6 linked regions of the Coturnix japonica genome follow. The protein of the gene in region 3 interacts with the protein of the main gene of each other region in a pairwise test. Links are inferred from orthologs where the notes say so. Each region holds a gene or a part of one and is shown on either strand. Other genes may lie near its edges.

Region 1 (4,756 bases), on a different chromosome or scaffold from region 3:
GGCCATCAACCTCCACATTTAATACCAGACCAGGCTGCCTGGGGCCCCATCCCACCTGGCCTTGAACACCTCCAGGGATGGGGCATCCACAGCCTTCCTGGGCAGCCTGTGCCAGCACCTCACCACTCTCTTGGTAATCCTACCTAACAGGATGGATCTAGGGGCTCCCACTGCCTCCTATACTGCAGGTTCACTTTGTAGTGGCAGCATGGTTGTACAAGATAGTGCTATAATTTGGTACCAAGATACTGACAAAGGTGGCCAAGCATTTCAGCCTCTAAGCATGCTGGTGAGCAGGTCTGTGGTCACTGGGAAAAGCTGTTATTTCTGCTGGTCCCTGCTTGGAGCACTACAGAGATCCCAACCATCGAGACTCTAAATTTGATATGAACACACCTGTGGCCTTGTTCTCTGTATCTGTAAACCTCCTGATTTGGGGATGTATGTTGCTACTGAGCACTTGTGCCTCCTGTAAACAGGAGTCAGCCTTTGATGTCTCCTCCCAGGGAGAAGTCATTTGCTAGGGCTGGGATCCCTTGGTCTTTGCTTTGTGTTTTCTTTGTTCCTTAGGGATTCTCTTGTTATTTTTCATGACGAGAAGTATAGCTAGAAAAAACGTACTGGCAGCCTGTATCCTGGCCCATAGGGGTGGAAGATTTGAAGGAATGGAGTTTCTTCTAATGCAAATATGCCACTGCACTGAGACTGTGTGGTGTCTGTTTGCTCGGGGCAGCCCTGCTTCTTAGTCCAGAATTTGGAGCACAAAACAAAATTGGTGGAAAACAACACAACAACTCTACATTTGCAACCGAGCCAAGTATCTGCTCTTACTGAAGGAGTGTGTTTGTTACTGTTCGGAGGACACAGAAGACCCCTGACAGAAAGACAAGGGCATCACACATTACACTGATTCCATACACACAGCTTGACATCACAGGCTGTAATTTGTATGTGTATTCTTTTCCCTTCATTTCCAGTACAAATACAAATCTGCATAATACAGTACATAGCAAGCACTGCAAAATTACCAATGAAATGAAGGATCTGATAACAGGCTTTTTTTTTATTATTCTTTTTTGAACGATGCTGCATTACACAGACTCAAGCTGTGTAAATACGCGACTGCACCAAAAATGTTTTAAAGCTTTGAGTAGAGTGACGTACCTCGAGGGTAAAAACATGTTAGAGAAAGACACAGAATGAGGTGGGACTCCTATTAACAGCACAAGAAAATGCATCCAAAGAAGTAGTGTATGGAAACTTCATCTATCCAATGAAGGTTTATCTGTACTGGCAAGTTAATACAAAGATAGCTGGTACGGTATTAAGTATACAGACCATGCTGGAATTAGACAGATGTGTTTTAAAATACATGGGCTGTTTTTTCATAACAACATGATTTCAAAGCAGATTTCTTATTGAGGGAGCCTCCCTTCCTTAAAAGTAGGCTATCTGGCTAATCTAAGATGCCTGCTTGGTCCAACTGTAATTAACTGTAATTAGTTGGCAGTGATTTCCCAGAGGGCAGAAGCACACTAATCAGCAGGCTAACTGCTCCACTCCAACACAGCACAGCTCCTGGAGGAGAGCTTCCTGTGCAGTGTATCACTCAGAAAATCAGACTGGATATCAAATGCTGGAGGATGAATTGTGACAAACCTTAGCCAAAAGAAATAGCATTTTACATTCGAGTATTATACAGAGAATCAGAACATCAATCCCCAGTGCCGCCACAATTTTCACCCAGCTTTCATTCTGGCATTGCTCCATGACATGTTTGGAATGAGGGAGGTGAAGGGGTGCCTTTGAGCAGCACATACCTGTACGATTTCCAGCATCTCTGACTTACTGATGTAGCCATTCCCATCGAGATCATACATGCTGAATGCCCACTTCAGCTTCTGCTCCAGTTTACCTCTCGACGTCACGCTCAAGGCTATGATGAATTCTCTGAAATCTATTGTTCCATCTCCATTGGCATCAAAAGTGCGGAACACATGTTCCGCAAACTTAGAAGCGTCCCCATAAGGGAAAAAATTGGCGTAGATTTTTTTAAACTCCTCCATGGATAAGTGTCCACTTGGGCAGTCTCTCAAGAAGCCCTTGTACCACTCCTGGATCTCGTGTTCTGTAAAGTCTGTACTTTCTAGCAAATCTTGCATGACTTCAGGGCGTAGCTTGCTGTTCTGCTTTCCCATGTTGGTGTCAAAATGTTACCTACAGAGGAAAAAAAAAAAACCCCTTCATTTTAGTTATAATAGTCATAATTATTAATAACAATTAGCTTGAAGGCTGCAAAAGAACAGCGTACTGGAGTTTTCTGACAACTTGGGAATCAACTGAAAGTTTTGACAGTGTCTCCTGCTAGAAGCACACTCTGAAAAAACTAACAAGCCTCTCCTACATGTTATTTATTTTACCCTTTCACAGTGTAGAGAACTGTCATTGCACTGAATTTATTGCCATCCTACTTTCCCTTTTCAACCCCCATGTAAGCAATGGATGATATGAGGTGCAGGCTGACTGGTAGCTGTGTGCCACAGCACGTCCTTTAGCCAACTCAACCAGCTCAGGGACCTTACCCCAAAAAGTGACTTTTATTTAACTTAATTAATGGTATCAGAATGCATCTACCGTGGGCACAGAAACCAGGAGCTCCAAAGAACTTCTGGATACATCTTCATGAGTCAATTAGAGCAACCCATACTTTGCCTCTCTTGTTTGTCATGGATCAAATCCCATTTTATTTCGAATGCAGAAAAAATCTGGGCAGATTTTATGAACGGTGGATTCCCCATCCCCAAAATATGGGGGGGGTTGTTGTTGGTGGGGTTTTTTTGTTGGGTTTATTTTTGTTGGTATGCTTGTTTAAAATTCTCCTTGTAGCCAGAAATTGGAGTTCTTAGTAAGTAGCAGTAGTCTGGGTGGTCACGACCCTTTGAAAACAAAACCTTTTTAAGAAAGGGAGAAAAAAAGGATAAAGTATCCAGACAACAACACTGGAAATTCATTTCACTGAAATTACCAGTTAAGAAAAATTCCTTTACCTCCACCATTTCAGTTAAATCGCTTTAATTATATTTTATTTAAGGCAAGTTGCTACACATCACACTGTGCAGCAGATTTACTAACGATTGGAGTTGTTTGGATTTTAAGGTTCAGAGCCTGGGTGTGTTGGCTCCAAAGGACAGTGCCATCATTTGTCCTGGAAGTTTAGTGTTACACCTGAAATGTGGGGAGGGACGCTTTGTCGACAGAAACCTGCCTGAGAATTCATCAGGGGAACGACAGTCACAGCTGAAATCTGATGTGTGGACAAGTTAAGTAGAACTGCAAAATAATTTATACAAGACTCCCACGCTGTTGTCAGAGCAGAGTCTCTGAGATGCCGAGATGGATTTATGAACGATGCCTGGAGTGGCAAATGAATGTTCAGTAAAATGTCCTTTCCGGATCAAGGTAATACTTTTAAAAAGCACAGAATAAAACAGAATCATTAAGTGACAGCAGCAGCTACTGAGAAACGCACTACAATTTGAAGCTCAGCTCCTGCCTCTCCTATATGACACTAGGAAAGAGAAACAGGGGCTCCCCCTAACTGATGTTTATTGTTTCCTGTGGAAAGAAGCTGAATTCTCACAGGGAGAATTTGAACTCCTCAAGGCAGTTGGAGGACTGTCTCCTTCATCTCCTACATTCTTGAACCACAGCAACCTGAAAGCTTTATTTCTCAGAGATGAGATGGCAGGATCCATCTTAGATCTGCCTCCACAGGCTCCACCAGCTGCATGTCTGAGCTCCTAGAGCCAATGGAGCGGATGCGCCCTGCTCATGGACAGGAGGCTGACACACTGACGAGTCCTGTCCACTGGGAGCTCCTGCATCTCCTGCCCGCTTCAAGGGTCTGCACAACTAGCTCAATCCAAATTATGTCTTTTCTTCCCGAAGGATTTCCTAGACACTTGGAAAGTGGAAGATGCCACCTCAAAGATAATTTTTGACTACTACACTTCCTCCTGATGAAAACCTACATATAGTTCTTCAGTCATCCAAGCTCTTACTACCCTGAAAATGTCAGAAATGTCCCTGTTCTATAGACCCAGTTCAACAGCTGAGTGTTGCGTTGCCTTCAGTGGGTGTTGGTTGGGATTCCCAGTAAACAACATGGGTGCAAGCTGAGTGCACAGATCACATTAGACACAATTGTGCTAAGCAAAATGGCAGGAGTGAGGTCTTCCAGCAGGATGGAAAAGCACTTCGGCAAGTGAAGCGGCAAGGCTTAGTTTAAAATGGCACCATTTTAATAAAAGCAATGCAGCAAAATCCCACAGCACTTAGTATCTACTCATGCCTGCAGCCTGCAGCTGCCCCACAGCCCCTGCTCTGCAGACACTGAAGGAGGGAGGGAAGATCTCTGAACCACGCACAAGCCAGCTGCAGTGGGAGCAGGCTGGCATTAGCAGCATAATCCCTTGCTGCTTTTTAATACCTCAAACATTTGGGAATGCAAAGCTCAGCCTGTGCACTTCCAGTCTGGAGTCTTATGAAAATAGTATTCGGTCTCTGGCGTTCATGAGATAACCAACAATGTGTTTCAGACCAAAAAATGATGCATTTATAGCTGCAGATAGCTGCAGGTCTAATCTATTTTTTACCAAGGAATCAAAAAAAGACAGGATAACAGGATGCACTGCATTTTATTGCTAGCTGCAAAACATTGCCATCAGGAAAAATTCTGTGTTCTCCAGGCACGAAG
Region 2 (5,300 bases), about 26 Mb from region 3:
TTCAGGGTGAGTGTGACCGTGACCCCGTGCCCCACATCCCAGCGGCCCCACGGGCCCCCTAAGCCCCATCTCCTCCCAGGGGCTCCTGAGCTTCGCTGAGGCCTCCAGCCTGCCCCTCACCATCCACTATGATGAGCCTGGCAGGTAGGACCCAATGCATCCCTCGTCCTCCCAGCCCCATCCTCCAGGGATTCTGCGGACTCTGACGCAGTCCCTGTTTGCCCCCAGGCCAGCCATCTTCACCCTGGATGACTCCCTCATGGAGGCACACCTTGTCCTGGCCACCCTTCTGGACCCAGAGGGTGACTCACAGCCAACACCTGCCACCAATGGGTAACATCCCGTTGCCATCAGTCAGGATCAGAGTGAAGGGCCCCATGCTGCCAGCAGCAGGGACCGGTGAACGGTCCTAATGCTGCCCATCATTTACTCACTGTCCCCTCTAGCAGCGTCTCCCACCCACCTGCCCCTTCTGATGACTTTGCCGATGACCTCGAGTCCTACATGGTGGCTTTGGAAAGCAGCGCCTGCGAGGGGGAGGCAGGAGCACCCCCCAGCCCCACCTTCCCCCTGCATACTCCTCGCCCCGCAGAGAGCAACCCAGAGGAAGAGGAGGAGGACAGGGCTGTGCCAGGGACACCCCCTCACAAGAAGGTGTGGGACAGGAACCAGAATGGGGGGAGGGAACAGGACAGGCACGGCCCCCTCACCCTGTGTCTTTTCACCCCCCCAAAGTTCCGCTCGTTGTTTTTTGGCTCCGTGCTGACACCGGGGGGGCCTGGCCCAGCCCCCAGCCAGGAGGTGCTGGCAGAGGACAGCGATGCCGAATGCTGAGAGCCCCCATTGCGATGCCATGGCGCAGCAGCTGGCACTGCCTGGCCACGTAGGGTGTGATCCTAAAGCCACATCTTAAGACCCATTACAAGTTTATTCCCCAAAAAAAGCCTCCTGCCCTGCCTTCACTGCCAACTGAGGGGCGGGTCCTGCCCCAGAGGGTACATTTGGTACAGTAGAAAGCGGCAAGGGCAGGATCTGACAAATAAAAAAACGAATGGAGAAAGGAGCGACCTGGTGCTGGGGCTGCTGGCGGTGGACACTCACTTCTTGGCTTTGGCAGAGTTGCGTGGTGGGGTGACGGGGCGGCCAGCAGGGTTCAGCCCACTGAACTGCCCGTACTTGCCCTTGTTCTTGTCTGCTGGTTTCAGAATCTGCAAGGAAGTGAAGGGTGAGTGAAGGGGCTGCAGGCAGAGCCCTGTGTGCTGCCCCCTCCCCGGCAAAGCCCCAGCTCACTTGGAAGGAGCACATGAGGGTCTCGTCCACACTCATCATGGCTCCTGCGTTGTCAAACTCCCCGCAGTAGTTGGGTGCAGAGAAGAGGGTGACAAGCTGGCGTTTGGCAAAGAACTCGTAGCCGTCCTCCACCACCTGTGGGGCAGCAGCACTCATATCTCCCTGTTCTCTGTCCATAGAGCCCACCAACTCCCCCAGGGGGCAGCATCCCCTTCAAAAGAGCCCAACCACATCCTCAAGAGCAAATGGCCCCTCCTGGGAAAAGCTCCACCGTTATGGAGCCCAGGTGAGGCCCGACCCCATTACCTGGTGTGCCCTGCAGATGAGATCGAGGTCATGCTTGTGCAGGAACTTGGCCACCACCTCGGCCCCAAAGGTGAAGGACACTCCTCTGTCATTTTCACCCCATCCTAAGACATCTTTGTCAGGGTCAGACCACAGGAGATCACACAGCAGGCCCTGGTCGGGTACGTCCGTGGGTCGCATGATGCGCCGGATCTGTTCCATCGACTGCAAGTCAGGAGACAGCCCTGCACAGGAGTGTCAGGTTATGCTGTGTGGCGGCCTTTGGACCCAGGCGGCAGCCCCCAGCCCTGTGCCCACCTCCGTGACAGCAGAATATCTTCTCATCCACAATTGCTGCAATTGGTAAACAGTTAAAACAATCGGTGAAGGTTTTCCACAGCTTGATGTTGTATCGCCGCTTGCCTGTGAGGCAGCGGGGTGGGTGCTCACAGGAGCCCTTCATGTGGGCCATGTTCCACCCTCCCCACCCTCTGGTGTATCACAACACACACAGGGCAGCACTGAACCCTCCAGGGGGCTGGGGGGGTGGCCGTGGAGGTGGCTGGGATGGGGGTATGAGGTCTGCAGGAGGAGGTAGCTGGGATGGGGCATAAGGTCTGCAGGAGGAGATGGCTGGGATGGGGGCATAAGGTCTGCAGGAGAAAGTAGCTGGGATGAACATAAGGTCTGCAGGAGATGGGAAGAGCTGCAAATGGGGATGGAAGGGGGGACTTTGGGCTGGCTGTATCATATGGGGTTGGCAGTGAGGTGACAAGGCAGTCCCGTTTGTCAGTAGTGGGGCCGGTGCAGCACTCACACTCATCATAGAAGCCGTAGATGCGGTTGATGCTGGCACATTCGTGGTTGCCACGCAGCAGGAAAAAGTTCTCCGGGTATTTAATTTTGTAGGCCAATAGAAGACAAATTGTTTCTAAAGACTGCTTTCCTCTGTCAACATAGTCACCAAGGAATAGGTAGTTGCTCTCTGGTGGAAAGCCTCCATATTCAAAGAGCCGAAGCAAGTCATAGTATTGTCCATGGATGTCGCCTGTAAGAAGATCGCGGGGGACACGCGGTGACGCTGGCTCCCAGCCCGCCCCCTTCCCCTCCCCCCGGCTCGTCGCTCACCGCAGATCTTGAGCGGAGCCTCGAGCTCCAGCAGGATGGGCTGGCTCAGGAATATCTCCCGTGACTTCAGGCACAGCCCCCGGATCTCGTTCTCTGTCAGCTGCACGTTCTTCCCAGGCCGTGAGCCTTGCACTGTGCGGGGGTGGCTTTCAGCAGAGCCCACTCCACCCCCGGAGCCCGCAGAGCCGCCGTGCCCTAACAGTCCCGCACTAACGCACGGCCCTCCCGGTGCCCCCGGCCCTCTGCAGCCACCCCCCATCCGCCCCGATCGCCCGCAGCCCCCCTCATTCCCACAGCCCCCAGCGGCTCCCACCGCCCGGCTCCCCCCGGCCCCCCGCTGCCCCGATACCCCCCGCTGCCCCACAGCCCCACAGTTGGACCCCCAGAGCCTCGCACGGCCCCCGTTTCCCCGCAGGCCCCGGCCCGCAGCCCCGTTCTCCAGCCCCTCCTTGGCGGCACAGCGCCGGTCCTTCCCTCCCCTAGCGGCTCCCGAGGCGGTCCGGGAGCACTAGGCCCATCGCTCACCCTCCAGGAGGCGGCCGATGATGGAGTCGAGGTTGAGCTTCTCGGTATCCGCCATGGCCGCCGGACGCTGCTTCCCCCCCCCGCCCTGGCCCGCCCCGGTCCCGGCCCCGCGGCCATAGAGAGCGGCCGGGGCGAGCGGCGGGTGGCGAGAGCGCCCCATGGCGGATGGGAGGCCGCGGAGGCGCGTGGGGGCTGCGCGCTCCCACGAGGCGGCGCCGTGTCGTTCCCCGTGCCGGCCGGTTGCCCGGCGGCTGTTGCCGTTGTCAGCCTCGCGGCGCGTGGGGAGCCCCGCGGGGACGTGTGCCGAGAGACACGGTGCTGCCACCGGCTCCACCCGCCTCACTTGTGCCCCTCGTGCCGCCGTGCCGCCCCCACGTGCAGTACGAGCCGCGCGGTGCCGGCACAGCCTGGCCCGTTGCCCGCGGTGACACCGGTGACATTTCAGCCCCGCGGTGTCAGCTGCGCCGCTGTCCCCGAACGACCCCGGCAACTGTCCCCGCTCCGCTGCCGGCTGCGTGTCCCGCTGCTCGTGTCCCGCCTCCCCGTGTCCCCCGATCCGTGCGGCCCCACGTCGCGGTGTGCTCACATCCCGTGTCTCCGTGCCCCGGCTCCTCCGATCTACCCGTCCCCACCCCGACGTTGCTCTGTCACCACGTCCCCCACTCTCAGATCCCCCTTTTCCCGTATCTTCCCTTATCTCCGTATCCTCCGATTTACCCGTCGCTACGTCCCCGTGCCTCGTATTCCCAAATCCCCGTGTCCCCGGATCCCCGTAACCCCACAGATCCTTCTCCCCGTGCTCCCTCGTTCCCCATCTCCATTTCCCCATACGCCCCAGATGTTCTCATGCCCTCGCATCCTTGTCTCCACGCCCCATAGTTCCCTCACACCCCACACCTGATACCCCGCACCCCTGAATCCTGGTGCCCGCACACCCCGCACACCCCCCATTCCCTCTCTCCCCCCCTTCCCCGCCCCGCCCCGCGCCCTCCCCCGGGGACGCCCTTCTGCCACCGAAGGCGCCTCCGCCGCCGGTGCAGAACGGGCACGGCTCCGCGGGCACCGCCGCCACGACCGCCCGAAAGCGACAGCGACCGCCGGTGGGTGCAGGCGGCGCCCGCTCCACGCGTGTCCGAGGGTGTTGGCGTGCGCCGTGCTGCGCGTGTCCGGCGGTGAAATCGCGGGCAGCCGTTGCGCTAAGCCGGGGGACGTGCGGGGCGGCACCGAGCGGCGCCGGGGACGGGCGGGTGGAAGCCGGGGACAATAGGGCTCTGTGCCGCTAAGCCCGGGCACGGGGCCGCCCCACTGCCAGCGGCCACGCGTGACTGCGGGGCACGGCTCTTCCCGGTGGGGCCGTGTGGCCGCACGCCTCAGTGTCCCTCCGGGAGCACGGTGGCACGGCGCGGTACCAGTGGGGCCGACGGTGCGGGCTGCGCCCTGCTCACCGCGACCCCTCTCCCGTCTCTCGCAGCCTCCCGACGCCCGCAACATGGTGAGTGGCGGCCCGGGGTCTGCGGGCGGGGGGCCCCTTCCCCTTTCCCGGCGGGGCTGGGTGGTGCCGGGTGTTCCGTGTGGCAGCGCCGTGCCCACCGCCTCCGCGTGACCCCGCGGGGACAAGGGGACGCTTTGTCCGTGGGCTGGCACCGCTCCCGGGCACCCCGACACCACCGCCCCAGCGACGTCCCGTGGCTGCCCGATGCCTCCCCTGAACCCGCGGCCCCCGTGCCCGTTGCCGTGCCCGTGGCGGTGCCAGCTCCGCCGTGCCCTGTGACAGCTCTCTGTGGACCGGCTGAGCGCGGAGCAGGCGCTGGACATGAAGGAGCAGGAGTGGGCCGGCCCCGAGGCATTGTGCCCGGGCTGGCAGGAGGAGGAGGTGCCCGACGGCGAGGGACCCGGGGACAGAGCGCACCCCGACCCCACCGCCCACGCCTACGAGGTGCTGCAGCGCACCCTGCGCCTGGAGGGGTGGCCCCTCACCATAGACCGCACCGCCCAGCCACGCACCGGTACGGAGGCGCTGGTATGGGTATGGGTGGTGGGGGTGGTGGCCTGGGGGTGCAGTGCCAGGCTGG
Region 3 (4,086 bases):
ATCAGGGAGTTAATCCTAGAGGTTGTCACTAATACATGAGACTGGCAAAGTGACATCATTGATCTGTATTAATTGCTAATGTGAGATGTTAAATCCAAATTTTGAGGCTATTCTGAAGCACAGTGTGAAGTTTTATGTGGATACCAACATGTCCAGAGCTCTTGTTAGGCATAAAATATTAGGAGGGCATATGAAACCTTGTGGTGCTAGTATCAAGAGGAAGTCCATAAGTGGTATACTGGTAAGAGAGCTGGAAAGCCTATTTACATGCAACAAGGAAAAAAAAAAAATCCCCCACTCTTAATTATTTGCATTATATGTGAACATAAATTTGAGACTTAACTGTAGTAAACTAATCTCACTTTGTCATTTCAGGTCCCATTGAAGCCGATCAGACACGTTAGCTTTCAGGATGAAGACGAAATCGTTAGAATAAACCCTCGTGATATTTTGATACGTCGTTATGCAGACTACAGGCATCCTGACATGTGGAAGAACGACCTGGAGAGGGATGACGCAGACTCAAATATACCATTTTCTAAATCAGACAGTAAAAAATCTGACTATTTATATCCGTGTGGGGATGGGACTAAGTTGAATTCCCTGAAAGACTCAAAGAGTTCTGTGGTATTTAAAACTCAGCCTTCCTCATCAAAATTTAAAAACTCAAAAAGAAGAAAAGAGGATGGTGAGCGTTCCCGCTGTATATACTGCCAGGAAAGGTTTAATCATGAAGATAACGGCAGAGGAAAATGTCAAGATGCTCCGGATCCTATTAAAAGATGTATCTACCAAGTTAGTTGCATGCTTTGCGCAGAGAGCATGCTGTATCACTGCATGTCAGACTCGGAAGGAGACTTCTCTGATCCTTGCTCGTGTGACACTAGCGATGACAAGTTCTGCTTACGCTGGTTAGCACTGGTAGCGCTGTCGTTCATTGCTCCGTGTATGTGCTGCTACCTCCCCTTGAGAGCATGCCATCACTGCGGTGAGGCGTGTGGGTGCTGTGGAGGGAAGCATAAAGCTGCAGGATGAATCAGTCTTGTGCCAAACAGAGCTGAAAATCTTTGTTTCCAGGAAGCATCTAACTTGGATTTGTGGAAGCTTTTTGGCAAGCCGAAGGGAATCTTCTTTCACGTAAGAGATGCTCGATGTGGAAGAAGCAACAAGACTTGTCAGACCTTGGCATTTTACAAGTGCTTGCCACGCCTGACTGTTTCCTTTGAGCGCGTGGCGTTCGTTGCGAGTTGTGAAGGAGATTTTGCAAAGGAAAGCCTGTTCTTATTATTGGCTATAAAATGAGTATATAAACTATGATTATACTAAAAGGGATTAACTTTTGCCACTTTGTACATTCATGGTTTAGGTGAGGGGGCTCTTTTAAAAGGATTAAAACTTACCTGAGGGGAAATTTTAACTAAAAGTGCACTAGTGACAGTTGATTTAAGATTAAGAAAAGTTAATACTCGGCAATTGAGAAATGAAACTGATTTTAAGTGCAACTAAATCACTTATTAATAGTTTTTTGGAAGCGACTTTATGTATAAATAACAAATGTTTATATTTAACTAAATGTGTAAGGTACGAATTATTACATGTTAAACTTCCCTTCCCTCTGGTCTAGTAGGTATGGACCATATCTACTGTCACATTCCATTGTAGTACTTTAAATATTTAATTAGTTAATTTAGTTGCATTTTTATTCCAGATGGACAAATTGATATTTTCAGTCCTGTTTCCCTTCAGCTACAGTTTGTGTTGAGTTGTATCCATACATTCTGATAATCTAAAAACTTTTAAAATATTAATTATTCTAGTCTTGAGTGACCAATATTTTTTGTTAAGCACAGATGTAATTGTCTAAAATGTTCTTGTTAGAACATAACATTTATTTTTATATATAAATGACTTTGATTTCAACATAATAGCAAAAAGGAAGTTGTTTCTGTTGCTCAACCAGCAAGTTGTTTTCTTTTGGGGCATCCTCCAGAAAATACTTTATTACGTATACAGACGTTCATTAAGCAAAAGGTACATTAAGGCAGTTGTAACGAGTTGTCATCAGTGTTCTTGTTTATCTTTCTGTTAAACTAGGATCCTGTTCAACTGTTTATCGAGTACTATGATTAAAACAAAAGATTAATAACAAAAGTCAAATCGTTTTCATTATTTTGAACTGCAACTTTTTCTTACTTGAACGTGCAAGAACAAAGCCACTGGCTTTGAACAAAGGAAAGACTGCAGAAGTCTCGAGAAGTAAGCCCAGGCAAAACTGGAGTGAACTTAATGGAGTGAATTAGGAGGGAACCTGGGGAGTGGGATGGGGGAGTGCGTGTATACACACGTGGTGCTGTGCATATTTGGTACAGCTTTGTATTCACTATGTGTTTAATTTTCAGAAAAGAATTAAGCAGTTAACCCTTAGAGAATTTTTTGAAAACATATTTTGCTGTCGTGAAGTAAGAAGCATTTGCTTCTCATTAAAAAATATGTAAAACTATAAAAATAATCATTCGGTAGGGTAAGTGCCAATTTGTTGTTGCAGCTGGAATGGGGCGGACCGTCCTCAGAGTATCCCACATTAAACAAAAGCAATTGAGTTGAAAAGATGCGTGTAACTTTTCTCACCCTATGTATTTTTCAGTGTCGCTTGTGTACTTTGGTGCCCTTAGTTTTCTTTTGTAGCACAGAATTAAAGGAAACAAACATGTACATCATCTGTCCGTGAGTTACTTTTTAAAAGAAAACACTAATATTTACATTATGACTTGAATTGACCACGTTATGTACATAGCTCATCTCAAAGTATTATTTCACATTGAAAAGAAGAAGCATTATTGATAACTGTAGTAGTTACGAAAGAGCTTCCAGTTTCATAATGAGTTGGTCGGATGAATTAAGTCCACAAATCTGATGCTGTAGCAGCAGTCTTTGTTTTTACTGTTAATATATTTGCTGCTGCTCTGGTTGATTGTCATGCTGAGCACGTCTTCAGCTGAACTTGGTTTCCTGGAATAGACTGTTAACCTTAAAAGGATAAAATATAAACTAGTAATGTCTGCCTTGTGAATGGGATGCATTTCATATTTTTCAGTGCTAGGTTCCTAACTCAAGGTGAAGAGGGGAGTGAATGACCCAAGAACAGAACTCGCTGGCTTTATAGGTAAATACTGTAGAATCCTACTCTGTATATACTGCAGAAGGAAATGAACTTAATTCCTTCTGAGCACTAGTACTGTATTTTATATGAAACATATCTGCTTTAATATTTTTACTGAATGTGTGCATTAATATTCTCGTTTTGCATTTAACTGCTTTGCTAAACTGTGTTCATCTTTTTGCCTTCCCCTTTAAAGACTTGTTCCATCTGAAAAAAAAGGTTGGTGACGTTTCACAGTGTTCACTTTCCTTTTTGTGATGGAACTTGCAGCCTGCATGCCCGTTCTGAGATTAGTGAAGAGAAATGCAGAAGTACAGTTACATAAGGGGTGCTTTTGGTAGGATGCACGCATCCTTTTTTCTCTCCTGGTGTTAGGGATCCTATTCACGCTTGCAGTTAGGAGTAACAAATGGTGTTTGCAGATCAAACCCTTCGCAGAAACGGGCTTTTAAATCTGTGCGTCTTTTTGTTTTTGACAGCAAATAAAATCTTTTCTCCTCTGAGCCGTTTTCTTAAGCGTTTGGAAAACGAGACATTCCTTCCCCAGCCCTGACCCCCCTCTCCCTGGGCATCAGAGCTGGAGCTTGCCAGGCATGCGGCAGCGGAGCTTTGTGCTGCTTGGAGGGGAGACCCGAGCCTTGGGAAACCGTCGGTGCATACTAAGTCCTTCTCTCACCGAGAGCCTCAGTTACCGTGAAAATTAAACGTTTCCTTTTGAAAGGAAGTGGGGGAAGCCAATGGATAGCGGCGCTCGTCCGCCATCTGCTGGGGGAGAGCTCTCGGGCTTCACCCAGACGCAGCTCCGGCCGCGCCGTCACGTAACGCGCTTTGCGTTAGGGCTGCGGAAAGAGTTTGTAACTCTGAATTTACACCAATGGATGTATGGCATCGTGAAGGGATTCTTTATCTCACGGTGCCTCAGTAAG
Region 4 (5,347 bases), on a different chromosome or scaffold from region 3:
TTTGGGGTGCTGTGCCCCGCAGGGAGGTGCTGGGGCCGTCAGCCTGGAGGGAGACCTCACCTGCTCTGCTCAGTCGTTTGCATCAATTATGGTATCGCATCTTTGTGCCCGCACAGAGCTTGTCCTTGAAGGGCAGAGCGCAGCTCTCAGGGCTGGGTTTTGGGGTGCTGGGCACACAGGGAGGGGCACAGATGGGTCCCTGCGGGGACATGGGTGCGAGGCCTGGCCCTGGTGTGGGGGCCAGTGCTGGGGGAGGGATGGGGATGGCTGCAGCCCCTCTGCCCTGTGCCAGGGAATGGAGACGTGTGGTGGCACTGGGCTGGGCCCCTCTATGTCCCCGCGGTGCCCTGTGGGGTCTGAGGTTCATTGCTCCCTTTGCACCATTTCTACTCCCCCCACACTGTCCCATGATGTGAGGGGGGACACCTGGGGGGCAGCACATCCCACTCGGGGGAGCTCTCAGGAGGAGATTTGATCCCTACCTCCCTGTGCCCGTCACCATGCAGGGACCACGCAGCCCAAATCCCCCACGAAGGACACTCCACGCACTGAGGGCTGCACGCAGCCGTTGCAGCGCTGGGGACGGCAGGGTCCCCCCCCCAGCCACGCCCGTGGTGTCCCCAGGATTATTTCCAATGCACTGCACCATCTCCACGAGCATCCCTCCCAGCGGGGGCACCGTAGCACCAGGGCTGGATCCTGCCCCTGGGCGACCCCCGGCGCTGCCCCCCCCCCCCGCCCCTTTAGGGGCCGAACCCCCCAGCAATGCACCCACCCTCCCCCCCCCTACGGCCCCACTGCGGATGCGGCCGATTTACCGCATGGCTCCGGGGTGCGGAGCCGCAAAGCCCCCCCCGGGCTGCAGCATCCCGGTGGCTGCACCCTCCCGCCCCCCCCTCCAGGGCCCCCCGCCGCCCCCCGCCCCGACCCGGCCCCGTTCTCACCGTGGTGGCGCGGGCGGCGGCAGCGCCCGGTGCGTGCGGTCGCTCCCGCAACGCAGGTGCGGGGGGAAGAGCCGCCCGCCGCTGCGTGCGAGCCCTGCGCCGGCTGCCGACTGCACCACAAAGCCCCCCATGGCCCCCGGCCCCCCCACGCCACCGGGGACGGTGACGTCTCAAGTGCGAGGGAGCCGGGGACGCTTAACCCGCTGCGTGCCGGCCGGCGGCATCCGCGGCCCTGCGGGTCTCTGCGCGCTGCAGGACGAGGGGACGCCTCGCACCGCGGGGGTCGGTGCCGGGGGCCCGGGGCGACGCTTCTCCTCATTCCTGCCCTTATCTCGGGGGGTCCCGGCTGGTGGGAGGGTGGCGGGGGGTGCAGCGAGAGGGACCCGCTCGGCGTCACTGTCACCCGCGGTGCCTCCATCCCCGCAGCCGCCGCGGGTGGAAGGTTCCGAGCAGCGGAAAACGGGGCATTCAGCGGGGTGACACCCCACGGCGGCCCCGCCGGGAGCCGCGGGGAGGGGGCACCGCACAGTCCTTGGCCGTGTCCCCCGCCGTGCCCCCTCCCCGCCTCTTCCCACCCGTGTAGCCTCGGGTGGGGATCCCCCCATCCCTCCCCGCACACGGGCACGGCGTGGCGCAGGGGCCGCGCATCGGGCCCGGAGGGGTCCGAGGGGTCCGAGGGGATCCGGCCGTGGCCCCCCGGAGTGCTGGATCCCCGCAGCCGCGCTGTGTGTGCACAGCTGCAAATATTTGTGCCTCATATAAACCGTTTCTCTGGCCCCGTCGGCGGGGGAAGATTCACGCGGAGATTTCGGGTGGCCCCGCGGCTCCGTCCCACCCCCGGTGGCTGCAGGCGCTGCCCCACGGCCCGGGGGGAGGGAAGGTCAGCGGGGAGAGGCAGAGCCACCGCTATGGAAACGTTCCGCTTCTGGCGCTGGGAACGAGCATCAGCCCCGGGCAGCAGCGGGGCGGGAGCTGCGGGGACTCCGCTCCGGGCTGGGACCCCTCGGACATCGGTGCTGCCGCCCCCGGCCGCCCATTTCCCTTTCCAGCCCCCAGCTCCTCATTTCTCGCCCCCCACCCACCACCGACTGGCAGCGCCCGCAGCCAATAGTCGGGCGGTGCTGGAGGCTGCGGGAGGGGCGGGAGCGGCGCGGGCAGAGCCGGGGGCGGCAGCGCTGCCCGACGGCGGAACCGGCTTCGCTCGTGGCCGCTCCGCACGGACAGGTAACGGGGGGGGGCGGCGGGGCTGGGAGCCGCTGCCCGGGACGGGGCGGGGCGGCCGTCGGGGTCGGGGCCGTCGGGGCCGCGTTGCTGCGGATGGAGCGGATGGAGCCTCCGAGCTGCCCCCCCGCCCACGAGTGCCATCCCTCAGCCCGACCGCCCCGTCCCTCCCCGTGCTCTCTCCGTCTCGGGGATGCAGCTCTGACCGGTGTTGGAGGGGGGAAATGCAGCGGGTCCATGCGATGTCCGGACATTCCCTCGGCTCCATCTCTGACGGCGGTGGGTGGCAGCTGATGGAGGGATGCTGTTCTGTTGCTGGGCAGGATGCGGCCTCTGCCCGCCGCGTGTGCTCGGCGTGGGGCCCGTCATCCCAAAGTGCCCCAGAGTTCCCCAAGCCTGGAAAACTGGGTGCACAACGGGCGATGGGGCTTCGGTCGGGCTCCAGAGAGCGTGTCCTCAACTCTCTCCATGGAGAGCAGCTCGGGAGCCCTCATCAAACCCTCAGCTGCTCGGGCTGAGCAGCGGCAGCCAGGGCTGTGTGGGAGCGGGCACAGTGTGTATCATTGGAGCCGCTGTGGGCACAGTGTGTATCATTGGAGCTGCTGCGTGTGCTGCCCACACAATGCAGTGCTGTGGGTTGGGTGATGCAGGTGAGACTTCTCCTCACTTCGATGCCAGTGGCACAGAACTGCAGTGACATTTGGCAGCGTGTGAGTGCCACCAGCCGGGAGGGTCAGCTCCGTTGTGGGAGGGCTGTGGGGTCGATGGGGCGCTGGGGAGCGCAGCCACCCTGTAGCCGGCATCCAGAGCCCCACACTTCCCATCCCAGGCACAGCCATGGGCAAGCACAGCAGCAAACTGGCCCCGGAGGTGCTGGAAGACCTGGTGAGGAGCACGGAGTTCAGTGAGCAGGAGCTGAAGCAGTGGTACAAGGGCTTCCTCAAGGACTGCCCCACCGGCATCCTCAACCTGGAGGAGTTCCAGCAGCTCTACATCAAGGTGGGCTCTGATCGGGCACAGCCTGTGGGGCAGGAGCTCCCCTCTCCTGCTGTGTCGGGCTGTGCTCCCTCTGGGCTCCCCTCCCCGTTCCGATCTCTCTCCTTTCATCCACCCGCAGTTTTTCCCCTATGGTGACGCCTCCAAGTTTGCCCAGCACGCCTTCCGCACCTTCGACAAGAACAGCGACGGCACCATCGACTTCCGAGAGTTCATCTGTGCCCTGTCTGTCACCTCCAGGGGGACCTTTGAGCAGAAACTCAACTGGGCCTTTGAGATGTACGACCTGGATGGGGACGGGAAGATCACACGCCTGGAGATGCTGGAGATCATTGAGGTACTGCTGCTCCGATAAGTGGGGCACCTTGCATTTTTATGTGGGTTTTTCACAGGTTTGGGGCCCATCTGGCCATGAAAAAATGGGTTTTGGTGTCTGGAACCTTGGCTGAAAGGTGGCTGCGTAGGGCAGCAGCTCTGCCTTGTCTCAGCACCTCCTGGCCACCCAGCTCCCACCCCGCTCCTCTCCCTGCTCCAGGCCATCTACAGGATGGTGGGGACTGTGATCATGATGCGGATGAACCAAGACGGGCTGACGCCCCAGCAACGCGTCGACAAGATCTTCACAAAGATGGACAAGGACAAGGATGACCAGATCTCCTTAGAGGAGTTCAAGGAGGCAGCCAAGAGTGACCCCTCCATCATCCTCCTGCTGCAGGGTGATGTGCAGAAATAGGGCCTGGGGCTCAGGGCTGGACTGGCTGCATCCAACCTCGGCTCCCCATGATGGTTTCCATCCCCATGCCCTGCTGGTGCCCCTTGCCTGCTTGGTCCTGTGCTCTGTTCCTGCTGCCACCCCTCAGCTCTGCTCCTGGGCACTGCCAGCTCCAGGTCCCCTAAAATAGACCTGGCAGCACCCCATGGGGGCTGCTGGGGCTCAGAACTGGTCCTAGGTTTTGTCCTGCCCTCTCCACCCCCCTCACCCAGCTGAAGATTTTCTGCTTCTGCTTTTGATGGTGGGAATAGCCAAGGGTTGGTCAGGGGACTTCAGGAAGCGCCCAAGGCCACCCTTGGATCCCAGAAACCACCCCATCTCCGGTGGGTGACTCCTGGAACTGCCCTTGTGCTACTGAGGGTGCCCAGAGTGTTTCTGGCCCTGCTGACTGCTGCAGTGTCTGCTGTCCCAGCCCCGGCCTCTGCCCCTTCTGCCCCAGGACAGCGATACTGTCACTGAGTGGTATTTATTCAGCACATTGTGGTGACGATGACTGTGATATCTGTTAGGAGGCTGTGGAGTTACCTACTTTTTTTCCTTCTTTTTCTCTTTTTTAATGGAAAAATAAACTGTCCCCCATTGGTTGTGTTCCCCCTGAATGGCTCAGCAGGGGGAGAGCAACGCTCCTGAGCATCATTTTGGGGCTCCCTGGAGCCTGTGACATGCTGGGGAGGGATCGGTCCTTACACAGGAGGTGGTGTAATGTAACCCTGCAGCTGTGCACGAAGCTTTGGGAAGGAATAATGTCGTATTGGGTGTGTGTGGGGTAGGACTGGGCGTTTCACGTGCCCCCCAAGATTGGGTCCCAGCTGCCTCCGGGTTGGGGGCTGCATCCTGGGCCCGCTGCAGCACCGCCAGCCGCTGGGACCTGGGACGTGCTGCTGCTGCTCATCAACCCTCCGCCCTCACGCCCCCCTTCCCTGCACGTTTCGTTCTTCCCATCGGCAGCCTGCACAGACAGTGCCTGTTGCTAAGGAGCTCTCACCAACTTTAAGTGCTTCTCCGGATTTAGCAGCAGTTCTGGCTCAGCTCGCAGGCAGAAATGCGGCTCCCCTTCCACCCCGCAGTACTCCCACATCTCCCAGTCCTGAGAAGGAGGATGGGACGGTGCCAAAGCAGCACGTGCGTTCCCGGGAGCGCTGCTGAGGGGCAGCTCTGTGCCCACCCGGGAGCAACGTGCAGCTCAGCGGGGAGGGGGGGGACGGTGCAGGTCACACGCGCTGTGGGGACAAATGGGAATGTGCCAGCGCTGCCGTGTAAAGAGCAGCGGCTCAGGATGGTGGGAATGAGAAATTCTGGTTCCCCTCGGGCCCTTCCCGGAGGAAGCTGGAGGATTTGCCGCAGAGAACTGCGAAAGCTCCGGGGAAAAGGAGCCCGCGATGGGGCTGGAGTGGCGCTCAGCTCCCAGAAGGGC
Region 5 (5,371 bases), on a different chromosome or scaffold from region 3:
TGAAATGTGCCCAAATTGGGACTAGAAGTGAGAGAGGGGGAACCCCCCACATTGTCCCACCCTTCCTCTGGCAATGCCAAGCCCTAAAGTGAACTGGAAATAAGGAATGGGCCCCAAAATGGTCCCCATCCCCTTCGACTCCCATGCAGCACCACCCCACAGCATCAGTGGGGGGAGGGGACATCCTATGAGGTCAGCAGAGCCCCAAGGAAGGGGAGGGGGGGGTCAGGATGCGGGTTACCCCCATTCTATGGTCCCAGCCCCTCTAAGAGCCAAAGCAGCAGCATTTAGGGGGGTTATGGGAGAGGTTATGATGCAAGAAGTCCCCTCGGTGCCTCCCCCTGCCCCACAGAGCGAGCGGAGCCCATTGCGTGCCATGAAACAGAGGCACCAAACACGGAAAAAGCTGTAAAATAAACACCAAAGGCACTTCAACACTGGCTGCTGTCTGAGATGCTTCCTGCTGAGGGGCAGCCTGAGGGTCACCACTGATGGTTATAGGGCCAGGCATCAGCCCTGCATCCCTAACACCAAACCCCCCCTTGAGCAAACCTTACCTTCTCCACGTGCTCTCAGTTTTGGGGTGGTGCTGCCTGGTTACACTGTGGGGCTCCCCAGGGCTGGGGGGTCATCAGCCTCACACAGCCTGCATCGCTGCTGTGCACCTCCCGGCCCCACACCGTCATTCTCTCTCTTACTCAAGGCAGCCTTCCGCTTTGGGGTTGCACTCAACTGCCGGTACGTGCACACGTTTCCTGTTTGCAGCACCACAAAGGGCTCAGCAATGGATCCCAACCCACCCATAGACCCCAACCCACAGCAGGAGCCCCCATCCCTGTCCTGCTGGATCCATCCCACAGCTGGACATCCCAAACCCCCCCACAGATACATCACAGCTCCTTCCCCACCAGCATCAAACTGCACCTCTGTGGCTGCACCCTTAAAGCAACCCCCAACCCACACATAACATCCCCCCACCCCCCATAGCACACCCCACAGCAGTCATTCCCATTAACAGCCATTCCCATTAACAGCCACCCCTTCTCTTTCCACCAGACAAGTGTTTATTCAGTTACACTCGCAGACAAACAGGTTCTTTCCCCTTCCAAGAAGCCTTAAAACAGTGTTTTCATAAATAAACATTGAATGCTGGGCACTTGCCAGCATCTCTGACAGCAAAGTGCATCACGGTATGAGCTGGGAGCAGCACCCTCCTCCTCTACATGGGAACACCCCGTGCCAATCCCAATCCCAATACAGAGAGGGGGAAACCAGTGAAAGTGCTGAGATCCGACAGCACCCAGAGCAGGGCTGTGTCCTATAGGGCATCCCTGGGTCACAGAGACAACAGCAGGAGCCAGGTCAGGCTCTGGAGTAGGAAATAGTCCAGGAGAAAAGCTGGCACTTCTTGCAGGGGCAGCCCCTGCTGGCAGTGCCAAGCAGCAGCTCAACATCCAGCTTAATGTCAGCATTGCACGATGCACAGCCAGCCAACACCACGCCAAGAACCCAATGGGGCAGCACAGCCTGGAGCAGCCCAGTGCCTCCCGAGCTGTGCCGGCCTCAAGGGTACACACCTCCAAGTACATTTGTCACCACTGTGTGACCAACACATCACTGAGTCACACTGGGAGCAGCTCCATGCAGGGCTCACACCCAGTGATCCACAGCAGGGAGGGCCATGGGGCTGCTCCATGAGACAGCAGGATGCTGCTGGGCAACACCAGCACGGGGCAGGAGACACCCTCAGCCCCACCTGCTCCATTCCAGTCCTTAGTCCTTCCCGTGGGCTCCTCCTATACATTGCACACAGCATGGGCCACTCAGGACCCCAGAGCTACTCATAAATAGGGAACTATAGACTCGGTATCGCTTTGTACAGACAGTGCAGGGCAGGGAAAGAGCCACGACAGCCTCCAGGGCACGGCAGCATCAGCATCCATCCCCAGCAGCAGTCACAGCCTGGGCTTGTCATGGACGACTCTTCTCTTGGAGCTGTAGAAGTCTGCAGGGCAAGAAGAGAAGTTGGGATGTATCAGGAGCAGAAGGAGGGGGCAGCAACCCAACCCCAACCCCAACCCCAGCCCCAGCCAGGTGGGCTCATAGCTTCAAAGCCCCGCATTTATGGGGCTGTGCATCACTTGGTCCCATCACATCCCCACTGCTGAGCCACTTTTGGGCCATGGGAACTGAGGTTGGTGATCCATATGGGGGTATTTTTTACCTATGGGACACCCGAGGCTGGTTCTGCTGCCTCTCCCCTCCAAAGATGGTTCTGTGCTAAGGGTGGTCCCATGGCATGAGGGGCATCCCCCCTCCACCACTCACCTTTAACAGTGGTCTGCCCCCGCTTCAAGTGCTGTGCAGAACCGACCCTGGTTTGCTCCGAGCTCTGCTGGGCTGCCCCACAACGAGCCCCACCGACACCATCCTTACTGGGGACCCTGCGTGGTGCTGAGCTCCCGTTGCTGCCGGGCTCTACCCGGGGGGGCTGCTCGGCCATCAGGACCCTCTCCCACTTGAAGTGCCCATCCAGGGGCGTCTCCGTCTCGAAGTTGAAGTTCCAACGTCTCTGAGCTTCTTCCAGCTGTTGCCTCAGCAGCTCCTCGAAGTCGTTCCGGATCTGTTCGTGGTCCACGGGGCCGAAGAGGTTCCTGCACGCTTTGCTGCTGCACGGCATCGGGCCGGTCCTGCTCTGCGCCAGCGGCATTGCGGCTGTGGGGAGGGGGATATAGAGGGGGGGATATGAGTCCAGTGCATATAATGGGAGCCCCCAGGACCCCTGGGGTGTTAATGATCTCGGCTATAGGGCAGGCTGGCACAGGGGGTCATTGAACCCGGACAGAACTGCGTTAATAGATGAGGGACCGCTCTGCCCCCCCCCGGGATGGGTCACTTAAAAATAGCCGCTTCCTATCAGCGGGGTGAGCTCAGAGCAAGACAAGTCCCAGCATGTCCCGGTCCGACCCGGTCCGGCCCACAGGAGGAGCGGAGCTGTCAAAGCCCCCCCGACCCCGTCCCCAATCACCCCCCATTGGGGTTTCTCTCCCTTCCCTTCTTTTCCCCCCCCCAGTACCGACACCAGCACCGCACTCACCCCACACTCCCCGTCGCTCTCTGCGGTTCCCAGCCCCGCACTCCGCCCTTTATATCGGGGCAGGGAGGGTGGGAGGGGCCTCACGGCGTCGCTCGGGATTTCCCCCCCCCGCCCCACCGCAGAGCAGCTGTTATCGGGGGGGGGGTTCAGTGCCCCCCCCCATAGGGCTGCACGGACCCCCATATGGAAAGCGGGTCGTCGCCTACTGTGCGATGCGGGACCCCCCCCCCCCCCATACAACGCGAAGGATGCGGGAGGGTCTTCAATACGGCTTTGCCAATTGAAGAGTAAAAAGGGCCCCTCCTGGGTCACCACGGGATGCTGCAATGATGGGGAGTGACGGGGGTTGGGGTGGGGGTCCTATGGGACCACCCCTGGGTGCTTTGCCCCCGAGGTGGGCTCTGCTCTACCAGCGGACCCCCCAGCAATGCAGCTGGGCTGGGGAGCTCCGGTTGGCCTGAGGTCAGCAAGCAGCAGGAACAAGCCCGTGCATGTCCTGCATGCAGCAAAGCTGCGGGTTGCATGCAGGGACGTGTGGCCCCGCTGCAAAATGACCCCCCCCAAAACACAGCAGGGGAGGTCTGAGCGCTGTGCAGCTCCCCGTCAGGGTTACAGCACAGTGCCAGGGCTCAGCTGGGTGGGCTGCAGGGGGCATAGGGGGAAGGAATTGGGTTTGGGCAGCAAACAGTGCTTGGGGTGCAAGGAGATGGCAGCACAAAGGCAGGCGGTGCACTAAGCTGGGTGAGCCTGCAGCTGGTGGGCTGCAGCTGAGCCCTGCAGTGTGCAAAGCCCCCCGTGCAAAGCCCCCCAATGCATCCGTTCCCAGGCTGAACCAGCATTTCCCAGCAGATAAAGGATATGTTTGGACATGTCCGGCTGCAGGCAGTGCGTCACACAGCAGTGTTGTCCAGCATCAGTTCCTCCTGCAGCTCTGGGCCAGGCCAAGGTGGTCGCTTTGGGGTTGGATCCTTCTGGATGTGGGGTGAGAATGAGGCTGTCAGAGCTGGCAGCTTCTTGAAGCTGATGGAGGAGTGTGATCTGCAATGATGACTGATGGAGGAAGAGCAGGAGCGATGCTGCAGTGAGGCAAGAATGAAGCAAAGCGATGTGAGATGAATGCAATCGGTTTGGCTGCATCCCAGGGGGAGCCAGCACGTGGAAGGGCAACCTCTGTGGTGTGCATGGGGATAGGATGGGATGGAGATGGAATGGAGTTGGGGATGGGATGGGGTTGGGATGGAGGTGGAATGGGGATGGGGATGGGATGGGGTTGGGAATGAAGTTAGAATGAGATGGGGATGGGATAAAGTTGGGATGGGATAGGGTTGAGGTGGGGTTGGGATGAGATGGGGTTGGGATGGGGATGAGATGGAATGGGGTTAGGGATGGAATGGTGTTGGGGATGAAGTTGGGATGAGATGGGGATGAGATGGGGTTGGGAATGAAGTTGGGATGGTGATGGGAGGGTGTTGGTATGGGCTTGGGATGGAGATGAGATGGGATGGGGATAGGATCAAGTTGGGATGATGATGGGGTTGAGGATGGGATGGGGTTAAGGTGGGGATGGGATGAGGTTGAGATGGGGATGGGATAAAGTTGGGATGGGGTTGGGATGGGATGGGGTTGAGATGGGGATGGGGTTGGGATGAGGTTGAGATGGGGTTGGGATGGGTTTGAGATGGGGTTGGGGTTGGGATGGGGTTGGGATGAGGTTGGGATGAGGTTGAGATGGGGTTGGGGATAAAGTTGGGATGGGTTTGAGATGGGGTTGGGGTTGGGATGAGGTTGAGATGAGGATGGGGATAAAGTTGGGATGGGTTTGAAATGGGGTTGGGGTTGGGATGGGGTTAAGGTGGGGATGAGATGGGGGCAGGGATGGGGTTGGGATGGGATGAGGATGAGATGGGGGTGGGATGGGGTTGGGATTGGGTTAAAGTGGGGATGGGATAAGGTTGTGATGGGGATGGGGATAAAGTTGGGATGGGGTTGAGATGGGGATGGGGTTGGGATAGGGTTAAGGTGGGGATGGGATGGGGTTGGGATGGGATGAGGTTGAGATGGGGGTGGGATGGGGATGGGGTGGGGTTGAGATGCTGGTGTGGAACCAACTTGCAGAGGAAATGGGAAGTGGAGAGAGGAATAGCGTCAGGGTCTGGGTCAGGCAGTGCGTGGTCGAGTCTGCAGTGGCATCATCAGCAAAAAGGGGGAAAAAAAAGTGTGATTAATGCGGAAAGTGATACAGGAACTAAGGAAAAGCCCAAAGGTGACTCACAA
Region 6 (4,756 bases), on a different chromosome or scaffold from region 3:
TTCAGAAGGTTGAATTTCTAAATAATGACACTTTTCCTTACAAAGTGATACAAAGATATTTAAAAATAACATGCCCTCTTGTTTCTAGATGGCCTTGCTGTTCTGCTCTGGTCCTGTGAGATCTGTGATCAAAGGAAGGTTGGAAAACCTTCACTCTATTACCCTCAGCTTCCTGCCTCACCCTTGAAAAATACCATGAGATGCAAAACTAGTAAAGCAGAATTGAACACTTTGTTGCAGAACGTGCTCTCAGTCTGTAGAATGGCTTAAAATAAGAGTACTGCAGCGCTTTCACATCTTAGTACAACCAGTATATTATTTATAAAGTCATTTTTTGTTATCATTTGACACTGAAACAATTTTCTGAAATAGTAATCATGTACGTTTTGTTCACATCTCCTTTCATCCCAAACAGCTTTCTCTAACAGGCAGTAGAATTGTATGTATCTTTCATATACAGTTTGAGTATCTCGCCGTAGTAGCCAGATGTCTGTAAGTGATAAACCACAACATCTCTTTTTGCTTGTAATATTGGCAGTAGTCTAATTACTCCTCTTACAAAGTTTCAGATGCCTTCTTGGTAACAGTGCTTGGATTCTTTCTTTTGATGATAGCTGTGATGGGCCCATCAGGCAATGCCTTGATTATATTCCATGCTTCAAAACGAGTGAGTCCTTGCAAGGCTGTAGTATGCACTTGTAATAGCTCATCACCGGGCTGAACTGGGCTGCTTTGCTCCAATGAGGTCCCTGCAGGGGGAGGAAGAAAAAATAGTAAGAATTCTCTCTGTATGGGGGAGTTTTTAATTAATCTTTCACTCATTAGGGTTCATCATCATGTTTGGTATAAATCGCCTGTTCCAGGAGGCAAAAACTACTTGTATTGGATGGGATAATGCTGCATTTACAAAATATCCCTTTTTAACAAGTATAAATCAGCAGTCAGTTATGAACTATGCTACTCTATCAACAAAGAACCTGCCAGCTACACGCTGAAGTGTGTTTACCTTTAAATATCCTGTTGATGATGATGGGTTTATCTCCATGAATGGAGCCCTTTCCACCTTCCAGACTGAATCCCAAACCAGCAGCTGTTTTTTCTAGAGTTATAGTGTAGTTTGTGTCTTCGGTTGCTGGAAATAAATTGAAAATTAGCAGGTGGGCACAAAAATACCTGGAAAACTATAAGATCTGTTAAAAAAATAAATGAGCTTTAATTTGATTTGACATTAGTTTTGAAATTCTTATTCACCAGAAAGCTGCAACTTAATCTGCCCATGTAGTTGTGGATGTCGCCACCTGCTACATCAATCACCAGCATGTTGTTTAAACCAGTAACTCTTTCACAAAGGAAAATAGTCTTATGAAGTGAAAACTTCAAATTAGAAACCATCATATTAGAATTCAGAATCAATGACTATTTACTTTAACTGCAGTTAGGCCTGTTACTAGAATAACAGCATTTACATGTGTTCAGAAATTAATATGGAGGATCTCACAGTTGGTTGTTGGTTGGTTTTCTGGTTTGGTCTGATTTTTTTCAGTGTTCATTTACTTTAGAAATCCATTAATTCTTTCCCAAGTTATCTTAAATATCTCTTTTAATAAATTAATATTAAATATCTCTTTTAATAAATTCTCTTATTCAGGAATGTCTCACAAACCGTGTTGTCCCTGATCGCGATTCTCAGATTTACCCAGCCAGTGCTGAGCAGCTCCATGAGTACCCATGATTTCAGGTGATGATATTAGAATCACAGAATCATCAAGGTTAGAAAGACCAGTAAGATCATCAAGTCCAACCATCAGCCCGTGTCTGTGACCGCTCCAGACCATGTTGCTCAGCACAGTGTCTGCCCTATTCTTGAAAACCTCCTGAGATCGTTATTCCACCACCTGCCTGGGCAGCCTGTTTCAATACCTCACCACTCTTTGTGAGAAGAAATGGTTCCTAATATCCAACCTGAACCTTCCTTGACTTAAAGCCATTACCTCTCATCCTGTCAAACGCTGATTAAACACTGAGCAGGTAGTGGCTGCGAGGTAATACTGCTGAACTTACCTGATTCTTGTGAGGCATCACTTGCAACTGAAGATGTGCTAGAGCCAATTGAAACGTTGTGACTTTTGTCTTCATCTTTTGCTTTTCTAGTGACAACAACTGCTTGTCTGGGTTGTCGAGCTTGTCGCATGATCACTGAGGCATCGTTGTGAGTCGCCCCTTTAAAAGACTTTCCATTAATGGAAAGTACTTCATCACCTTTCTGAATAGTTCCTTCCTGAGATGCTAGTCCATTGGGAAACACCTTGTGAACCTATTGAAAAGCCCCATTACCACACAGGCATGCAAGAAAAGAGGGAAAAAAAAAAAAAAAAAAAAAAAAAAAAAGGAAAGAAATTACTCAGTTATTAGTTTTCACTTGTGTATTTTCCATTCTTTGCAAGGTGGTTGCTTCCTGTTGTTGGCTTTAAGAACTGTTGTGTGGGAGGGTGGTACCCAAGGAAATGGGGTGCTCCTGCTAATAATTACGTGGAGAAGAAACCTCTGTGCATTCTCACAACCAAGATTTTTCTGACCCTGTGTGAACAGCTGCCTACTTTAATTATGCCAAAAGCCAACCTTGGTAGTAGAAAACCAGCAAGTTATATGTATTTTTAGAGAGAGTAGTTGTTTCAGAGTATTTTTTGAGAAAGATGCTACTTACTGTTATCACTTTGTTTTCTAGATCTACACCCCCTGCCAGGCTGAATCCAAGCCCAGTGTTTTCTTCTTTATGCAGAATTGTAACGTGAATATCATCTAATTCCTAGGCAGAAAAATAAATTGTGTCAAGAACATCCTAATACATACATTGAGTTGACTGGAAAATCCATGCATTTTCTATTTGCCCACTGAGCACTTAGTAATGAGGATTTAAGCATAATGCTGAGACATCTTAAATGTTTTGTTTTGATCACATTTCCTTATCAATTACCTCTATTATGAAATGTTATGTCCAAAACTGTAACATTTATGTAAACATGAGTCAATTAGATCTGACTATAATTTTAATCAAATTTAAGAGTATGATAGAGTAAGAAAATGCTTAATGATATAAGTGCAGAAAAAGAGGAAAAAATAATCTGGCTTGCAGCTCATGGATATTAGTTCCACAGCTTAAACATTTCTTCCAAGTTTTATCTGTGATAACATGAAGTTGCAAAGCCGAACCAGGCATGTCCAATCCATGTACTAAAAATCAAATCGAAAATCACACCGAATAAAGGCTCATTTACCTTTAAGGTTGCTTCATCTAGTGATTTGACTTCCTCTATGAGCTTTGCTAACTCTTCAGGGGAAAGAAGAGAGATGACAGACTGCCCTGACACACCGGATGCTTGAGGTGAGCCTTGTTCCTGTTTCTCTTCTTCTTTCTCGCTATCTGCTAAGCTCACAGTGTATTCTCTCAGCTCAGAGAGGCTGTCCCATTGTGAAAGGAATGAAAAAGAAACACTGAGTTATGAAAGGACATACAAAAGCACAGAGCAGACACTTCTGGAGCAGTCATCTTTAGATTCCCCCATGAGTTCCTCTCATAAGTGTTACGAATACATTCGTATATTGTATTAGCCTAGCAGAAGTAGGATCAGTCATATAGAATAATCATCTCTTGGCTCTAGGCTAACACGGATCTAAATAAACATTCTGTGGTTTTTGTTGCTGCTTTTGTTCTTCAGTTTCTCATTTTCATGTGATTGTAATGATCTTCTCTGAGAATGCAAACAGTAGATTTTTGTTATTATTTCTTGTAATCTGTACAGTAGATTTTTGAAAGAAGGCTTGTATGTGCTTTTGAAGTATTTTGCTAAGAGTACCTCTATTGATTTTTGTTGTTTCCCCCAATCTTTGACTAACTGAAAATGCATACAAAACATTAAGGGAGGCAAGCTTAGTATTGTTGGTGCCTTTTGTCCTGGGGGATACCTGTGCCCTGCTCTGGCTACATCACCTTCATGTATTTGAGCCAGACCTGCTTCTTTTTAGACCTGATGTAATATTATTTCAGTGATATGCAGCAAAACCAAGGGCAAATGTGAGGAGCATCAGGATGTTTGCACCGTCTCATCACAGTGACTAGCTACAGCTAGTTTAATTTTGGGAAGCCATAAGGTTTTCACATCTTCTGGAAGGAACATACTAAAATTCCTCTGTTTCCTCACTGGTACATGCAGTAATGATGTCTGTTTCACTTTCTGTTTCTACCACTGAGTCACTAGAAATGCTCATGAACAAGGTGGAAGCTTGAAATATGTCTGTGCTTATTAAAAAAACAAATTTACAAGCTGTGTGGGTCATCCTGCCAATCTCTATTTGTTTTTTACTGTTGTGTGCTCCTGCCTGAGAATATTATCAGCTAATCAGCACAGAAACTCACCAATACTGATCTGCAAATCTGATTTCAAATACAGTATCTTACTTTAGAGAAAATCCGGTGTCTGGGTGATGGTTCTCACTTGCAGGTGGGAGAGAAGACCCATCCTCTTCTGCAGAGGTCTGAGACAATGTGTCCAGAGCTTCCCATGCACTGTTTCCAGAAGGGATTGGAGACTGAGGAAGGCAAAGCAAAGACTTCATTAAAGCAGATGACACCTGGTTACTGATGGAATAGATTTTGCTATATTTTTCATCAAATGTCTTCATCATCTCACAAGACTGGGTGGCGGTAAGTGGAAAGCTTCGTGACCTCAGGTTGTGTACTTTTGCTACTGGTGCTACA

Evidence for each region.
Region 1: the proteins of SPRED1 (region 3) and NCALD interact in binary tests that used the Homo sapiens proteins (3 or more experiments, as listed by UniProt). The link is inferred for Coturnix japonica from reciprocal best matches to the Homo sapiens genes SPRED1 and NCALD.
Region 2: the proteins of SPRED1 (region 3) and PPP1CA interact in binary tests that used the Homo sapiens proteins (3 or more experiments, as listed by UniProt). The link is inferred for Coturnix japonica from reciprocal best matches to the Homo sapiens genes SPRED1 and PPP1CA.
Region 4: the proteins of SPRED1 (region 3) and HPCAL4 interact in binary tests that used the Homo sapiens proteins (3 or more experiments, as listed by UniProt). The link is inferred for Coturnix japonica from reciprocal best matches to the Homo sapiens genes SPRED1 and HPCAL4.
Region 5: the proteins of SPRED1 (region 3) and CDKN1A interact in binary tests that used the Homo sapiens proteins (3 or more experiments, as listed by UniProt). The link is inferred for Coturnix japonica from reciprocal best matches to the Homo sapiens genes SPRED1 and CDKN1A.
Region 6: the proteins of SPRED1 (region 3) and IL16 interact in binary tests that used the Homo sapiens proteins (3 or more experiments, as listed by UniProt). The link is inferred for Coturnix japonica from reciprocal best matches to the Homo sapiens genes SPRED1 and IL16.

The regions. Positions count from the first base shown.
Region 1 is NC_029517.1:116,695,198-116,699,953, forward strand, and holds part of NCALD (neurocalcin-delta), read right to left. Parts: intron 2,218-4,756; 5' UTR 2,199-2,217; coding exon 1,821-2,198; intron 1-1,820. UniProt on the Homo sapiens protein: May be involved in the calcium-dependent regulation of rhodopsin phosphorylation. Binds three calcium ions.
Region 2 is NC_029520.1:169,306-174,605, forward strand, and holds PPP1CA (serine/threonine-protein phosphatase PP1-alpha catalytic subunit), read right to left. Parts: upstream 3,539-5,300; 5' UTR 3,389-3,538; coding exon 3,229-3,388; intron 2,836-3,228; coding exon 2,704-2,835; intron 2,624-2,703; coding exon 2,393-2,623; intron 1,999-2,392; coding exon 1,894-1,998; intron 1,821-1,893; coding exon 1,597-1,820; intron 1,426-1,596; coding exon 1,291-1,425; intron 1,209-1,290; coding exon 1,098-1,208; 3' UTR 910-1,097; downstream 1-909. Other genes in the region: cell cycle checkpoint control protein RAD9A, read left to right, coding at 1-6, 80-144, 229-333, 447-654, 736-834; CARNS1 (carnosine synthase 1), read left to right, coding at 4,718-4,720, 5,003-5,234. UniProt on the Homo sapiens protein: Protein phosphatase that associates with over 200 regulatory proteins to form highly specific holoenzymes which dephosphorylate hundreds of biological targets.
Region 3 is NC_029520.1:25,909,433-25,913,518, forward strand, and holds the end of SPRED1 (sprouty-related, EVH1 domain-containing protein 1), read left to right. Parts: intron 1-375; coding exon 376-1,035; 3' UTR 1,036-2,712; downstream 2,713-4,086. UniProt on the Homo sapiens protein: Tyrosine kinase substrate that inhibits growth-factor-mediated activation of MAP kinase. Negatively regulates hematopoiesis of bone marrow.
Region 4 is NC_029538.1:4,839,862-4,845,208, reverse strand, and holds HPCAL4 (hippocalcin-like protein 4), read left to right. Parts: upstream 1-2,098; 5' UTR 2,099-2,371; coding exon of another isoform or gene 2,372-2,389; coding exon 2,390-2,444; intron 2,445-2,994; coding exon 2,995-3,164; intron 3,165-3,282; coding exon 3,283-3,498; intron 3,499-3,696; coding exon 3,697-3,894; 3' UTR 3,895-4,517; downstream 4,518-5,347. Other genes in the region: protein FAM49A-like, read right to left, coding at 2,372-2,419. UniProt on the Homo sapiens protein: May be involved in the calcium-dependent regulation of rhodopsin phosphorylation.
Region 5 is NC_029541.1:1,947,322-1,952,692, reverse strand, and holds CDKN1A (cyclin-dependent kinase inhibitor 1), read right to left. Parts: upstream 3,220-5,371; 5' UTR 3,098-3,219; intron 2,716-3,097; 5' UTR 2,711-2,715; coding exon 2,329-2,710; intron 2,006-2,328; coding exon 1,956-2,005; 3' UTR 1,047-1,955; downstream 1-1,046. UniProt on the Homo sapiens protein: Plays an important role in controlling cell cycle progression and DNA damage-induced G2 arrest. Involved in p53/TP53 mediated inhibition of cellular proliferation in response to DNA damage.
Region 6 is NC_029525.1:10,822,600-10,827,355, forward strand, and holds part of IL16 (pro-interleukin-16), read right to left. Parts: coding exon 4,457-4,756; intron 3,460-4,456; coding exon 3,276-3,459; intron 2,807-3,275; coding exon 2,705-2,806; intron 2,315-2,704; coding exon 2,062-2,314; intron 1,133-2,061; coding exon 1,007-1,132; intron 750-1,006; coding exon 556-749; 3' UTR 1-555. UniProt on the Homo sapiens protein: Interleukin-16 stimulates a migratory response in CD4+ lymphocytes, monocytes, and eosinophils. Primes CD4+ T-cells for IL-2 and IL-15 responsiveness. Also induces T-lymphocyte expression of interleukin 2 receptor. Ligand for CD4.